Linked DNA regions of Arabidopsis thaliana. The protein of the gene in region 1 interacts with the protein of each later gene in a pairwise test. Each region holds a gene or a part of one and is shown in the gene's direction. Other genes may lie near its edges.

Region 1 (7,044 bases):
GAGATATCACTTGTCAACATAAGTTGGCCCACTGGACCTCATCTCAATTTGAAAATTACGGATATTTCAGGCGTCAGTATCGCGACACGTCACTCAGCTCTCCAATTTTTTCATTCTCTTGATGCTGAAAGACGAAAATGGACAAAAGAGACCAGATATTAACGACGCTTGGTACATCTTGCGAAATACTACTAATATTTTACCAAATGCATGATGGACAAAATGAAAATGCAATAGCCAACAAATTACAAGTAGATGATATTATTGTAGAAACAGGAAACATATTATAATTGGTAAATCTGTTGGACAATAATCTGAACATAACAAAACATGTGGGGGACTCGAATAAATTTTATAGCTAGGGTCATATATAAAAGGACATTCACTTTTTGTTTAGATATATTCTTTGTAATTTTGTATAGACGTTCATTGCCATTATTGTAAACAATAAACATAAATAACCAATGCATTATGCATTATAGATATAATTGTAGGTTAATATATAGCAATGAAAATAGGTGGATTTAATCCTTATAAAATCTTTTAAAAAATCTAGATTCATAACTAGTTGTGTATAATACATATGTCAATTCTACAAAATTCACAACTAGATAATAAGAGCATCTCCATTAGTAGTCTGTCACATAGTTTCTTATTAACTAAAAAATATAAAATAATAATAGAGTAGGAGAGAGATAGAAGAGAGATTGAGAATAGTTTCTCTGCAGAAAAACTTTCGAGTAATGATTGAGAGACTATGTGTATATGTGTGTTTATAATTGGACAGAAACTAAATCATAATAAAATATTATTATATTTTTTTTTTTTAGAAACTTTTAAAGTATCTTACCAATGGAGATGGCCTAATAACTCCTATAACGATACTTTATTTTAATTTTGCATGAATTATCATATATGCCGCGTGCATGTATAGAAGATGTGTATCCACCATGCACGTAGACATTCATTGTAGATTTGTTGTTGTACATATCCACATATAATATGTTATATTTATGTATCACTTTAGCTTACTAAAACAAAGAAGTCATAATTCATAAATAGTTTCAAGTCTTGTATGTGTTTTATTTCCTTTGTCGCACTCACACTACCTATACTTCTTTTATACTATTGCTTTCCTTACAACTAAATTATGACGTTTGTGAGATTTTATTATACTAGAAAATAATCGTCAAATAAAAGAGCGTCTTTGCCTGTTGAACCAATTACTATTTAAAATATAGAGTAGTGTGGTCAATTGATTAATTATTGGTCGATGACCTCTACATAATTGGAGCTTTGAGATACATAACAAAACACAAGTACCAAGAAAAAAAACAAATAATAATAATGCATGTAGTAAGATAATAATCGAGCTTCTTAAATCTTCTCTTGTCTTTAATAATATTCCTATATATTCTAATTATGCATAGAATCCTACGTGATTAAGAAACATCAAATTCTCATTGTTCAGCCGTATGATCGTAATCTTTCTTGTTAGTTGCATATCTTCTACTTGTTGGGATTTCAATTATTGTTTTATCACCGAACAAATAACTGTTGGAAAATTTCATATTATGTCAAATGATCAGCTCCGTATTGTATCTATGCTTATGTTATGTTCGAAAAATGGACTCCTAAAAATGACACATTACAAAAAAAAATAAAAATAAAAAATAGCTTCGAGGCCTTTGAGGGTAAAAGCTCTAACCTCTCTCATAAAAGAATTAAAAATGGATCTTTGGATATCAAGAAAATTATTTTGAAATAATTAAATTGAACCAAAATCAGAAAACAAAACACATGACATTGTTGATTTGTCGTTTACTAAACCGATTTTCATTTGCCTAATTCTATTTTTATTGTGTTAGATCAAATAATGATGTCATCTTGTGTGTTTTACAACTAATAATAATTAAATTAGCAATTAACTATGGTAGACCTTAGCTTCGACCACCCTATACAAGCATATATCAATTTCGGTTATCAAAAAAAAAAGAAAAAAGAATCCGTTTGTAAAATTTTGCTAGTGAATTATATCTCTAATCCATATTCTCGATTGATGAAACATTATTCTGACATACATTAAAAAATTAGTTTAAGAATATTTTTGCAAAACTTATGCGATGTGATAAGCTCACTTTTTTTAGGTGACATGTTCGATCATAAGGTGCCAATAATTCCCTAGAAATAGATTAATCTCTATGTAAAATATCGAATCGTCTAGTGACAAGTACATGGTATACCTACCTATTCACTTATTATTTCTATTTTTGTCGTCCTCATGCATCTTATGTTATAATATCAAATGACGGAAAATGAGGGATGAATTCTATAAGCTAAGAAAACTAAAATAAGGGGGAAATTGCAAGAAGAATGAAAGCAACCTTTCAAATATCCTTATCTTATCCAATCCTTTTCAGGCCATTGACTTATTTTCTAATTAACCTAATTATATATATAAGAAAAAGCTAAGGCATCTTATATTTATATATACATATATCAATTGATTGCTAATAATGTTTTGATTAACTCTGCATATGGCATGTTTTCCAGCGATTTAAGTTCACAAAGAAGATTTTCGTTTTTGTCATCACTAAAAATTATCTAGTTCTTTCTACTTTTTCAGCGTACAATAATCTTTTTTTCTATCAATTGGTACGTTTTTTATTTTCTCAATTTTAATTTTGTTTTCTAGGTACATTTTTAATCGAATTGCACCAAAATATCCAAACAAATCAATAAAACAGGCAGAATGAGGTATTACCGTATTAGTTAAACGAGAAGTGGCTACTTTCCTCAGCGTGATTAAAATGCTTATGGGTTCAGTTTCATAATTCTCATATACGGAACTACGCATTTGACCTCATGCTCTCTATAAATATTAAGATCTGATGTTGAGAGCCCATTAGAACTAAGTTTACGAATGAGCCCATGATAGTTTAACTTGGGCCTAATTAGTGTCTAATCTGCTTCTAACGTTACCGAGTCAAACGCGGTCTAAACTAATTTGTAGAGTAGTGTATTTGTCCAAAGCGTACCCACACAATTGCTGAGAAACTTCAAACCCTAAGTGTGTGTCTAGTATTTTGCAATATACGACGCATAAAGAAATATCCTAACATTGACAACAACAAAAAAAAATCTTAGCGGAGATATAGACGTGTGAGACAAGAGCTCACACGTGTTGCACATTCGAGACTTGTTGATAATGACGACAACAAGAGGTTCTAGAATATTCGTGTTGGTTTCATTATTATTAGCAAATAAGACCAAGTCAACAAACTAACTTAAACATTGTGGATCGTCCACTTGTCCGACTCTTACGTCAAACCCATCATTGTTCCACATATCTCCACGCGTCAATCTCTCTATAAATACGAACAAATGAACACGTATCAATTCAACTCAAAAAGTAACAATTTGAATTACTTCCGCAAATCTAAAATAATATCTAGTGAAGCGAATATGTGTTTCTTTGATAATCGGTGCGATCAGAATCTGACGGTGGTGGTGGATGTGGCGTGGTGGATGGAGGCTGTTCCTCCACAAATCATTTCTCCGGCGAAGCCATCGGTTTCTCCGATTCTTGAGACGATTTTAGAAGGCGGAGAGACCGAAGAAGACAATCAAGAACAAGAAAACGAGGACGTGTAAATTGTAATGATCATTTTGTTACTCGGTCTTGGGTTTAAGATAGACTCTTGTTGTTGTTGTTGTTTTTTCTATAACTGTATAAGATGAGATTTTGTATTGTATCTTTTGTACAATCAAATCTCAGTTCTTTGTGAAATTTTCATTCAACTTTCACATCTTGTACGCTCGGTGATCTGTTGTTATATGCTCACGAGTTGGTAATTAAAGACAAATCTTAATATACTTTCTAACCGAACCGGGACGATAACCGGTCCACGACAAAAAATCAGTATCTTCAAATATCAAACCAAACTTAAACCTGAAACCAGTCTCACCGCTATTTCTGTTTGGTGCGATCATTTTCTCAACCAAAAGAATCTAATTTACATTAATTTTTAATAAAGACATGTATGATTTATCTGCAAACTAAAGCAGTGTACGCATACTTATGTTTCAACTTTCGAGCATCACCTAAATATGAAACATAAATATCACGTGCGATAAGTATTAAGCTGCGTCCTATAAAAAAGTATACAAATATATAAAGATCACTTGATGATTAGTTAATTACACTACTACTATTCCTCTCTATCTCTATAAATATCAGCAATAACAATAATTTCCACATAGATCTTCTCAACACAGTCGAAAGCTGCCGAAGTCTAAATCGAAGAAAGAGTATATTTACAAATCATGGCTAGGATGATCGGACCATTCGAAACTGTACCGGCGATTCTTGTTTATCCGATGAGGGTTTCAGCTTCGCCTTCGCTGGGGACAATTTATGAGGAACACGATGAGTAAAATTTTAACAAGACAAGATCAAAACTCGAGTGTTTAATTATTTTTTAATCCATTTTAATGAAATATTCATTTTGAAATATATCTTGATAGTGCTTTCTATTTCTTGGTTGATTTCCACTTTAAACTCTTTTTTATCGACGTTATTATGATCTCCTATATAATCAGACATAAGAGAAGATGTTTCTTAATGACGATCAGTGCAAGATGTTTCTTAATGACGAGCAGTGCTTCTTGTAATCGCCGGTATTAATGGATGTGTTTCTTTGTTTTCCGATCAACCTCCAAAACCAATCTCGTGTCTCCGGTTTTGTCATTTCGTTTCTTCTTATTTTGTAACCGTGATATTGTTGTGAGGCCTTGGGCCTATTGCCTGCCTAGTGCTACTGATAATGATTTCTTTGTTTTATGTGATTAAAAGTAATAATCAATTTCCCATGGTAATTAATCAAGTTTAATACTAATTTATAATATATACAAATAAACGTTTTGGTGTTTCTTCGTCGACGTCGCTATCTCCAATCTCATTACTCCCCTTTCTCAATGATCATAAAACCTACTTCGATTCTACTCCTTATCAACTGAATCACCGAAAAACCTCACCTTTTTTCTTTTTCCGATCATGGGGAATCTGATCAGTTTGATCTTCTGCTGCGGGAGAAGGCAGAGGAGCAATATTCCTCCGGCGATGGAAACGGCTCCTCTTGAACTCCCACCGAACAGATTTGTATTCGCCGCCGTGCCACCATATCTGAACCCTAACCCTAACTACGTTGACCAGTATCCAGGTAACTGCCTTCCTCCGCCAGTAACTGAGCCGCCGATGCTACCGTACAATTTCAACCATTTGCATCACTATCCTCCCAACAGTTACCAACTACCTCATCCTTTGTTTCACGGCGGTAGATACCCTATACTGCCGCCTCCTACGTACGTCCACCAGAAAGCCGTCACGATTCGTAACGATGTTAATCTGAAGAAGAAGACTTTAACGCTCATACCCGACCCGGAGAATCCGAATCGACTTCTTGTCTCCTTCACATTTGATGCATCCATGCCCGGAAGGTTTTACTTTCAAACTATGAAATGATCAAATTTAGTTAAAAGTTTGAATCTTGTTTGAATCAATCAATGGAGTAATATAAATGACTTAGCTTTTGTTGTTTTGGTTGGCGAGAACAGGATCACAGTTGTTTTCTTTGCTACAGAAGATGCAGAATGTAATCTTAGAGCTACAAAGGAAGATACTTTGCCTCCAATCACTTTTGATTTCGGAGAAGGACTTGGTCAGAAGTTCATACAATCATCTGGAACGGGTATAGACTTGACGGCGTTTAAAGATTCCGAGCTATTCAAGGAGGTGGATACAGATGTCTTCCCGTTGGCGGTTAAGGCGGAGGCAACTCCAGCGGAAGAAGGAAAGTCTGGTTCCACCAATGTGCAGATTACTCAAGTGGTGTATACCAAGGAGAAAGGAGAGATTAAAATAGAAGTGGTGAAGCAGATACTATGGGTGAATAAGAGGAGGTATGAGCTGCTTGAGATTTATGGGATTGAGAACACGGTTGATGGTTCCGATGAGGGAAAGGAATGTGTTGTATGCTTGTCTGAACCACGCGATACAACTGTTCTTCCTTGCAGACACATGGTATAGTGTTCATCATACTTAAAATTAGCTCATATAAAAAAAAAATTGAACTTCTTTTGAAATGGTTTGTGTATTTCTGTTTGGCAGTGTATGTGTAGCGGGTGCGCAAAGGCGTTAAGGTTTCAGACAAATCTGTGCCCAGTTTGCAGACAACCTGTTGAGATGCTTTTGGAGATTAACAAGAACGGATGAAATGGAGATGGAGAATGAACAAATTTAGTTAAGCAATCGACTTGTGTAATATATGCCATGCTTAATTAAGACGTAAAACGTTATGGTTCAATATATTATAAGTGGAAACTGAGTTCTTAAATAGCAATGATAAACAGATAGGCAGCTTCTTATTTAGTTATAGGTGCTTGGCCAGGAGCTGTGGTGGCCGAGGACCAACTATGGCAAACACAGAAGGTGATGGCATTACAACTGAGACAAAGACAGACACGAATCGACGTAGATAAGACTAAGGCGAAGCGAGATTGAGTTTTACATTGGTTTAGTCTTCCCACCATTGATGAACAAACACACCTCTGGCTCTCAGAGTTTGAAGCATGTTGATGCAGTCTGACTTGTGGTTGGAACAGCGGAGGAAAAGCTCATCCACGTAGCATATGACTCCTGTTTCCAGTAAAACAGTTAGGAACTTCATTTCCACTTGGTTTGTGTTCATCTTAAGGACTACAAAGTCTGCGTATTTCGCAGTTTCCTCAAACCAAGCAAGGAAATCGAATCTCTCATCTTCTGGAAATGGTTCTAGCTGTTCAAGCGGAGTTATCTTTTTCCCTGTCGAGTTGTTCTCAGCCAAATCCGGATGGTAAACAAAGGTGACGCCGGGTTTCTTGACATAGGATAGCATTACTGAAGTGTTGTGGTCGACAAAGTAGACATTGAATGCTTTGCTGTCGAGTGGGTATAACGGAAAGAACCAGTTTGGAGTTAAATTAGCATCCATGTGCTCGGCTGCT
Region 2 (6,668 bases), on another chromosome or scaffold:
TCATTAACAATTTCTGCCCCACGGAATCCTCCGTAAGCATCTTCAAGGTCTTGTGGTGTGTCCCAATGGAAAATGGTTGCGAAAGGCTTAATTCCTTTAGACAAAAGCTCATTGATCAAGTTGTTGTAATAGTCAATACCAGCTTGGTTGATTCCTCCTTTAAGATTCCCACGAGGCAAAATACGCGACCACGAGATGGAGAATCTATAGGCATTGAACCCAATTTGATGCAATAAACCCACATCCTCCTTGTAAAGATGGTAAGAGTCATCTGCAATAGATCCGTTGCTACCATCTTTTATCTTTTCTGGGTATTTTTCAGAAAACGTATCCCATATACTAGGTCCTCTACCATCTTCCTGAGCAGCTCCTTCAACTTGGTACGCAGAGGTTGCAGCTCCGAAAATGAAATCTTCTGGGAAATCAGTTTTTCTTAATTTAGGTGTTGAAGAGTGTCTCTTGGCAACAACTTCATTGGAAGCCAAGATGATGAACACTAGTACGGAGAAATATTTACTTGTCATTCTAAATTTTTCTTTTGATTATTGAATCTTTGTTTGTTGTAATATAATGAATTATGTCTAGAGTTATATAGGCAAGAGATTTGTTTTTACATTGGGTATGTGAATCTATAAATAGAGAAATGTAAGATAGAGATGGTGTAACAAATCTTTTAATTTTTACTTGTCCATAATTAGTGAATAGAAGACTATTGAAATGATCTTATCTAGTTGTCTTTCTAGTAGGAAAAAATTAGAAACACACTTGTAAATATTTTCCTTTTTCTTGTAACTACTTTTTTTATCCAACAATTTTGTAAATTCCCAAAATAATTCAAATAACTCTCTCAAGACTCCATTATAAACTATTCTTTTTTTTGTTAAATCCATTATAAACTATTCACAATGATCTTAACTAGTTATCGTCTTTATGATTTATGTCTCGAGAGAGTTATTTGAAATATCTAAGAAATTTACAAAAAAAAATGTTTTCTGTAAGTTTCAAACTAGTTTTAGAAAATCGTGAGTGTGGATTTGCATAAGATGATCAAGCTGTGTCCATTTTCTTGTTAACGTAGGTCTCTTATTGCAAAACCAATTTTTTCTTCTTCTTCTCTTCATGCTACGAGTCTTTTCTCTCTCGCTAAGGCTAATCTCCCTTTATTCTCTCACCATTCTTGTAAAAGCAAAGAACATGAGCATCAAGAAATTAAATTATTGAAGGTCCGACATGGAAGTGAAATTTGTAGAGTTGTAGTTAAACTTTGAAATACGAGGCCGAAATCAAACTAATCGTTGGAGTGACATAGAGTTGGGCTTCACTTTGGATCGATAATAGGCCAACTCATTTCAGTAGGAAGTACTTGGAGTGTTTTTCTTTTGTACTACACGCATGTACTACTTTTCTTTCATTTCACATCCAATAGAGTACTACTTTAACACACAAAGCTGAAAACTCCCAAAATTTGGTAGGATACAAGATTACAAAACAAAGAAAAAAAGGACGGACCAAAACTAATCGTGCACATAAAGATCTCAATGAATTTAATGAGTTAATTATTTTTATACGGTTCGATTTAAACCAAAAATCAAAAATGGCATCCTCAAAGAAAATTTTGCATGAATTAAAGACCAGTTTGGTTCAATGTTTTGTCATCAGTAACTACACAAACAAATACTTAAAATTTAATATATCTACAATAGTTTTTGTGTGTATTATTTGTTTCTAATTGACTTTTTTTACACCTGCCTAACAATCTCCCTTACACGTAATGAACTTCCAATTTACACGGAGAAACAACCACCCCTGTTGACACGTGTCATCACCACACCGACCGGCGGTGCATCACCCTTAGCTAATCCGGCTAACTCCAAACGTCGATGAGCAGACGGACGAGGAAGATTCTCCGGTACGATGGTCTCTAGCGAGTTCTCAAGCCAAGGCGGACACGTCCTCTTGTCACTCCACCTCCGCGGCGGCACCACACCCGCAGCCATCTCTTCTACCGGCGATTTCACAACCGCAGCTTCCACTGATGCAACATCATTGATCTGAATCCCGCCGATTACGACAGTTGCCGCCACCCCCAAGACAAAAGAACACTTGTTTTTCCGTGGCTCTGTCTCATTTTCTGTTCTCCTACTAAACAATAAAAGAACAAAGATCATTGATATGAAAAATTATCAGGTAAATAATAACTTTTCATGAATAGAAGAGATACCAAGAGATCTTTGACGTTGTCTTGAGCAGTGAAGCTAATGATTGTGCAGAATTTGAATCTAGGGGAGGAAGATTTAGACAGCAGCTTATTCTCCCTGCCATTGTTATTCCTCTGTTTTCGTTTCCTTCTTTTTCTTAAGAATCCACCTAGAACAAATTTTATTTTATTCCTTTCACCTCCAACATATATATAACTACTAACCCATTCTTACTTGGGTCACTCATTTTTTCTTACTATATATGTATCCTCAAATTATTACATTTCATATGCGCATGCAATACAAACCACATCTAAATTTTTCTTCCAATATGTTCTTTCTCTATACTTAACTAAAGCCCAAAGAATGAACTTAACCTAGAAAAGATGGACTTGACCCAATAGCATTGGTCCGTTGGAGATGTTAGGTCCATACTCCATACAAAGACAAATTGAACAAAAGTCGTGAATCTGTTTGCTACGTCTGAATAACAACGTACACGTATCACGCCTTGCGAACAAATTATTTGACAATGATGGCCAATTAGCATGTGTCATCACTTGTTACCACGTCAACAAGGTTCTTGTCGGTCCGTTTAATTAATAGTAACCATCGTTTTCAGGAAAAAAATCCACATAAAAAGTTTCTAATGGCGAAACAATATTCAAATATTTCCTAACAACTACCATGAGACTGATTCTTTTTCTCTTCCGAAAAATTAATGAGACTGAGTCCTAATTTTTCTTATAGTTAATTTGGTGACCATCAAAGAATGTAAAAGTATTTAGGAAACAGCACAAATAATCTGGCAATTACGGTCTACAACATGTTTATTTACTTATTTTTAAATTATAGAAAAATTTAATATTTTAATATCTTATATTTAATGCCCTAAATAACACTAAATCACACATATAAATAGCAGAGATATAAATATAGAAAAACATTCCAAGCATTTTTCAGTACTTAACATTTATACAGAAAAACAATTAAACATTTTTCAGCACTTAATAATTAACATATGTGAGAAATTCATAAACTCTATTAAATATTCATGAAAATAATGTATTTTTAATTTTATAAGTAATATCTCATGTGTCGACTTTTTTTATATAAAAAAGATGTAAAAAAGGTCCCAAGTTACTAAAATTCAATTTTGTCAACTTAACTCAAAATCTTTTTGCTATTAGTCTAAAATTTCAGATTTCCTTTCTTGCTATTTTTCAAAATACTATGTTTACTTCTCATATAAACTGTAAATATATCCCTTTTTTAATAAGAAAAAAAATCTCTCACTTCAAAAACAAAAAGGAAAAAAAAAAGCAAAGAGAAAAAGTAAATAATACGCCGACGTTTCGTGTTTATGTTAAGCTTCCTTTTTCCTTTTTCCTTTTTCTTTTTGCCTTTTAAATAACCGTCGGACTCATATTTCTCGCCTCCGCCGGCGAACAGTTTTATTATCTCTCTCTTTCTGCGTGTTCCAATTTCTTCCACAAAACCCTAATTTTCTCTTAAACCCTGAAATTCGTGTAACCTTTCAACAATCTCTTCAATTTTGTTTTCGATTCTGAATCCATTGTTTACGAATCTCTCATCTAAAGCTACATTCTTCGTTAAATCGTTTTTAATCGACTCGCTCACTCGTGAGTTGACTCGTCAGCTGTTTCCATAATTGCTTATTGAATTTTTATACGATGATGTTTCAATATGGAAGAAACTAGAGGAATTTCTGATCCAGAGAATGGGAGTTCGAGTTACGGCGGTAAACCGCCGAATCCACTCTCCTTCTCTTCTTCCTCCGCCGCTGCTGCCGTTTACAGGCAAACCTTCGACGGCGAGCGATCGTTGGCGCCGTGTAATAAGAGGTCACTGGTTCGACACTCATCTCTCGTAAGATTCGTTTCTCTTCAACTTGATTTGTGGATCAGTTAGGTTTATTTTGTGTATTGAATGATCAATTTAAGTTGAGGTTTTGTAATTATTGCTCTGCTTTTGGATTTGATCATTATTGGTTTCCTAATGTGTATAATTAAGGTAGAAAGTTTCTGTTTTTAATGTGTCATTATGAGATGTTTGAGGTTTTCTGATTGATTTTCATTTTGGTAGGTGAAGACAATGGTGTCAGATATATCTGTTGAGAATGAGTTTACTATAGAGAAGAACAAGTCTGAGTTTGTTCCTGCTACGCGTTCTGGAGCTTGGTCTGATATTGGCTCCAGGTCAAGCATGGAAGATGCTTATCTATGCGTTGATAATTTCATGGATAGCTTTGGCCTTCTGAATTCTGAGGCTGGTCCAAGTGCCTTCTATGGGGTATGTTCTTTCTTCAGTTTTCCTGATTTTTTGTAGATTTGTAGCATAAGCAAACAACTGTGAATGTAGTGAAAATATGGGGATCTCTTATTGAATTTTGTTTGTTATTAGGTATTTGATGGACATGGTGGGAAGCATGCCGCTGAGTTTGCATGTCACCATATACCGAGGTACATTGTTGAAGATCAAGAGTTTCCTAGTGAAATCAATAAGGTGTTATCTTCAGCATTTCTTCAAACAGACACTGCCTTCTTAGAGGCGTGTTCATTGGATGGGAGCCTTGCTTCAGGAACTACTGCTTTGGCAGCTATTCTTTTTGGAAGGTTTGTTGATTCAACTCTTATTATCTTTTAGTTTTGTCTAACCTAAACTCTTACATCTTGGTTATGTTAAAGAAAAACGTGTTTGGGAATAGATGCTTATCCTCAACTGCGTAGTGTGCATAATCTTGACCTTTAACACAATCATGTACAACTAATTCGCCTGTAGATGTATTCTCTGCCCATATGTGCTGCTGCTATAATGTAGTTATTGTCTCATATGGTCTTTGAGTCACGTATATACTTGCTCATTTCATACTCTATTAGTATTCTGGTATGAAACCGTTTGGTACCGTGTTAACATATAGTTTTGTGGTAACAGGTCGTTGGTGGTAGCAAACGCTGGAGATTGCAGAGCAGTCTTATCCCGTCAGGGAAAAGCCATTGAAATGTCAAGAGACCACAAACCCATGAGCAGTAAGGAAAGGAGACGCATTGAAGCATCGGGTGGACATGTATTCGATGGCTATCTAAATGGACAACTTAATGTGGCTCGAGCGCTAGGTGACTTTCATATGGAAGGCATGAAGAAGAAGAAAGATGGTTCTGATTGTGGACCTCTAATTGCAGAGCCTGAGCTCATGACAACAAAACTAACAGAAGAGGATGAGTTCCTTATAATTGGGTGTGACGGGGTTTGGGATGTGTTCATGAGCCAGAATGCTGTAGATTTTGCCAGAAGGAGACTACAGGAGCACAATGACCCGGTCATGTGTAGTAAGGAGCTGGTTGAGGAAGCTTTGAAGAGGAAGAGTGCTGATAATGTGACGGCAGTGGTTGTGTGTCTTCAGCCACAGCCACCACCGAACTTGGTAGCGCCGAGGTTGAGAGTTCACAGAAGCTTCTCGGCGGAGGGTTTAAAAGATTTACAGAGCTACTTGGATGGCTTGGGAAACTAATTGGGGGACATGAGGATGGTGACGAATGATTGATTTCTCTGTTTTTGTTTTGTCTTTTCTTACAATTTTATAGTTTGGGGTTTGGAGGTTTTGTTCTGTTAAATTCTCGCAATTTGAGTAAGTTATAACATGAGGCGGCATACAATAATTTATTGTTTGGTAGGATATATTTTTTTGTCACTTTTGCATAATAATAATTCTGCTTCAGTCTCATTTGTTTTGTAACTAGAAAGTTATTCCAATTCCTGCGTTTACCGAATATGTTGTGTTCTTGCAGAATGACGTATGTTAGATATGCAGTAAACTCGAGGGTCGGCTTTGACCACATCGCCACTTATCGGTTTGCGGATGCTGGAAAAGTCAGTCTAGTGATGAGGCTGAGTGAGCCATCGTCAGTTACTATTTTATCGTGAAACTCTGAACAACGAGATTGTCCCGGATATTCAAATGAGGAACAAGGCCCAATAGTCCGATCAAAGTGGGCTATTCGTATCGCTTACGAGGCCTATACGATGGTAATTGAATTCACGCGCATTCATCAGCGCGTGATTTGGAGTTGCTCAATTTCAGATCGCACAGGCTCTGTTAATCATCTCCTCCTCCGAAAGACAGAGAAAGAGACAAATCAAATTCATTCATATCAAAGAGATAGAGAGAAAATGTCCGGTGTGGCTATTCATGCGAGTTCATGGGGCGCGGCTCTGGTGAGAATCTCCCCGTACACTTTCTCCGCCATCGGAATCGCCATCTCCATCGGCGTCTCTGTTCTTGGTGCTGCCTGGTATAAATCCTTTTCTTCTTCTCCCCATTGATTTGCGAAATCATCATGCTTACGAAAACTATTTTGCTCTCTCTCTTTATGGTTTAGGGGAATTTACATTACCGGAAGTAGTTTGATCGGTGCCGCCATTGAAGCTCCTCGAATCACTTCCAAGAAT

The links. The genes of interacting proteins can lie anywhere in the genome.
Region 2: the proteins of DIP2 (region 1) and DBP1 interact in a two-hybrid assay, tested with the Arabidopsis thaliana proteins (one study listed by BioGRID).

What each region holds. Positions count from the first base shown.
Region 1 is NC_003076.8:759,680-766,723, reverse strand, and holds DIP2 (E3 ubiquitin-protein ligase), read left to right. Parts: upstream 1-3,243; 5' UTR 3,244-3,384; coding exon 3,385-3,654; 3' UTR 3,655-4,120; downstream 4,121-7,044. Other genes in the region: AT5G03204 (uncharacterized protein), read left to right, coding at 4,327-4,437; LUL1 (RING/U-box superfamily protein), read left to right, coding at 5,057-5,499, 5,617-6,082, 6,170-6,274; CPUORF47 (peptide upstream protein), read right to left, coding at 6,576-7,044.
Region 2 is NC_003071.7:10,902,216-10,908,883, reverse strand, and holds DBP1 (DNA-binding protein phosphatase 1), read left to right. Parts: upstream 1-3,616; 5' UTR 3,617-3,905; coding exon 3,906-4,088; intron 4,089-4,304; coding exon 4,305-4,511; intron 4,512-4,622; coding exon 4,623-4,834; intron 4,835-5,153; coding exon 5,154-5,730; 3' UTR 5,731-5,889; exon of another isoform or gene 5,890-6,007; 3' UTR 6,008-6,168; downstream 6,169-6,668. Other genes in the region: BGLU14 (beta glucosidase 14), read right to left, coding at 1-524; AT2G25625 (histone deacetylase-like protein), read right to left, coding at 1,785-2,142, 2,222-2,322; AT2G25610 (ATPase, F0/V0 complex, subunit C protein), read left to right, coding at 6,243-6,511, 6,599-6,668.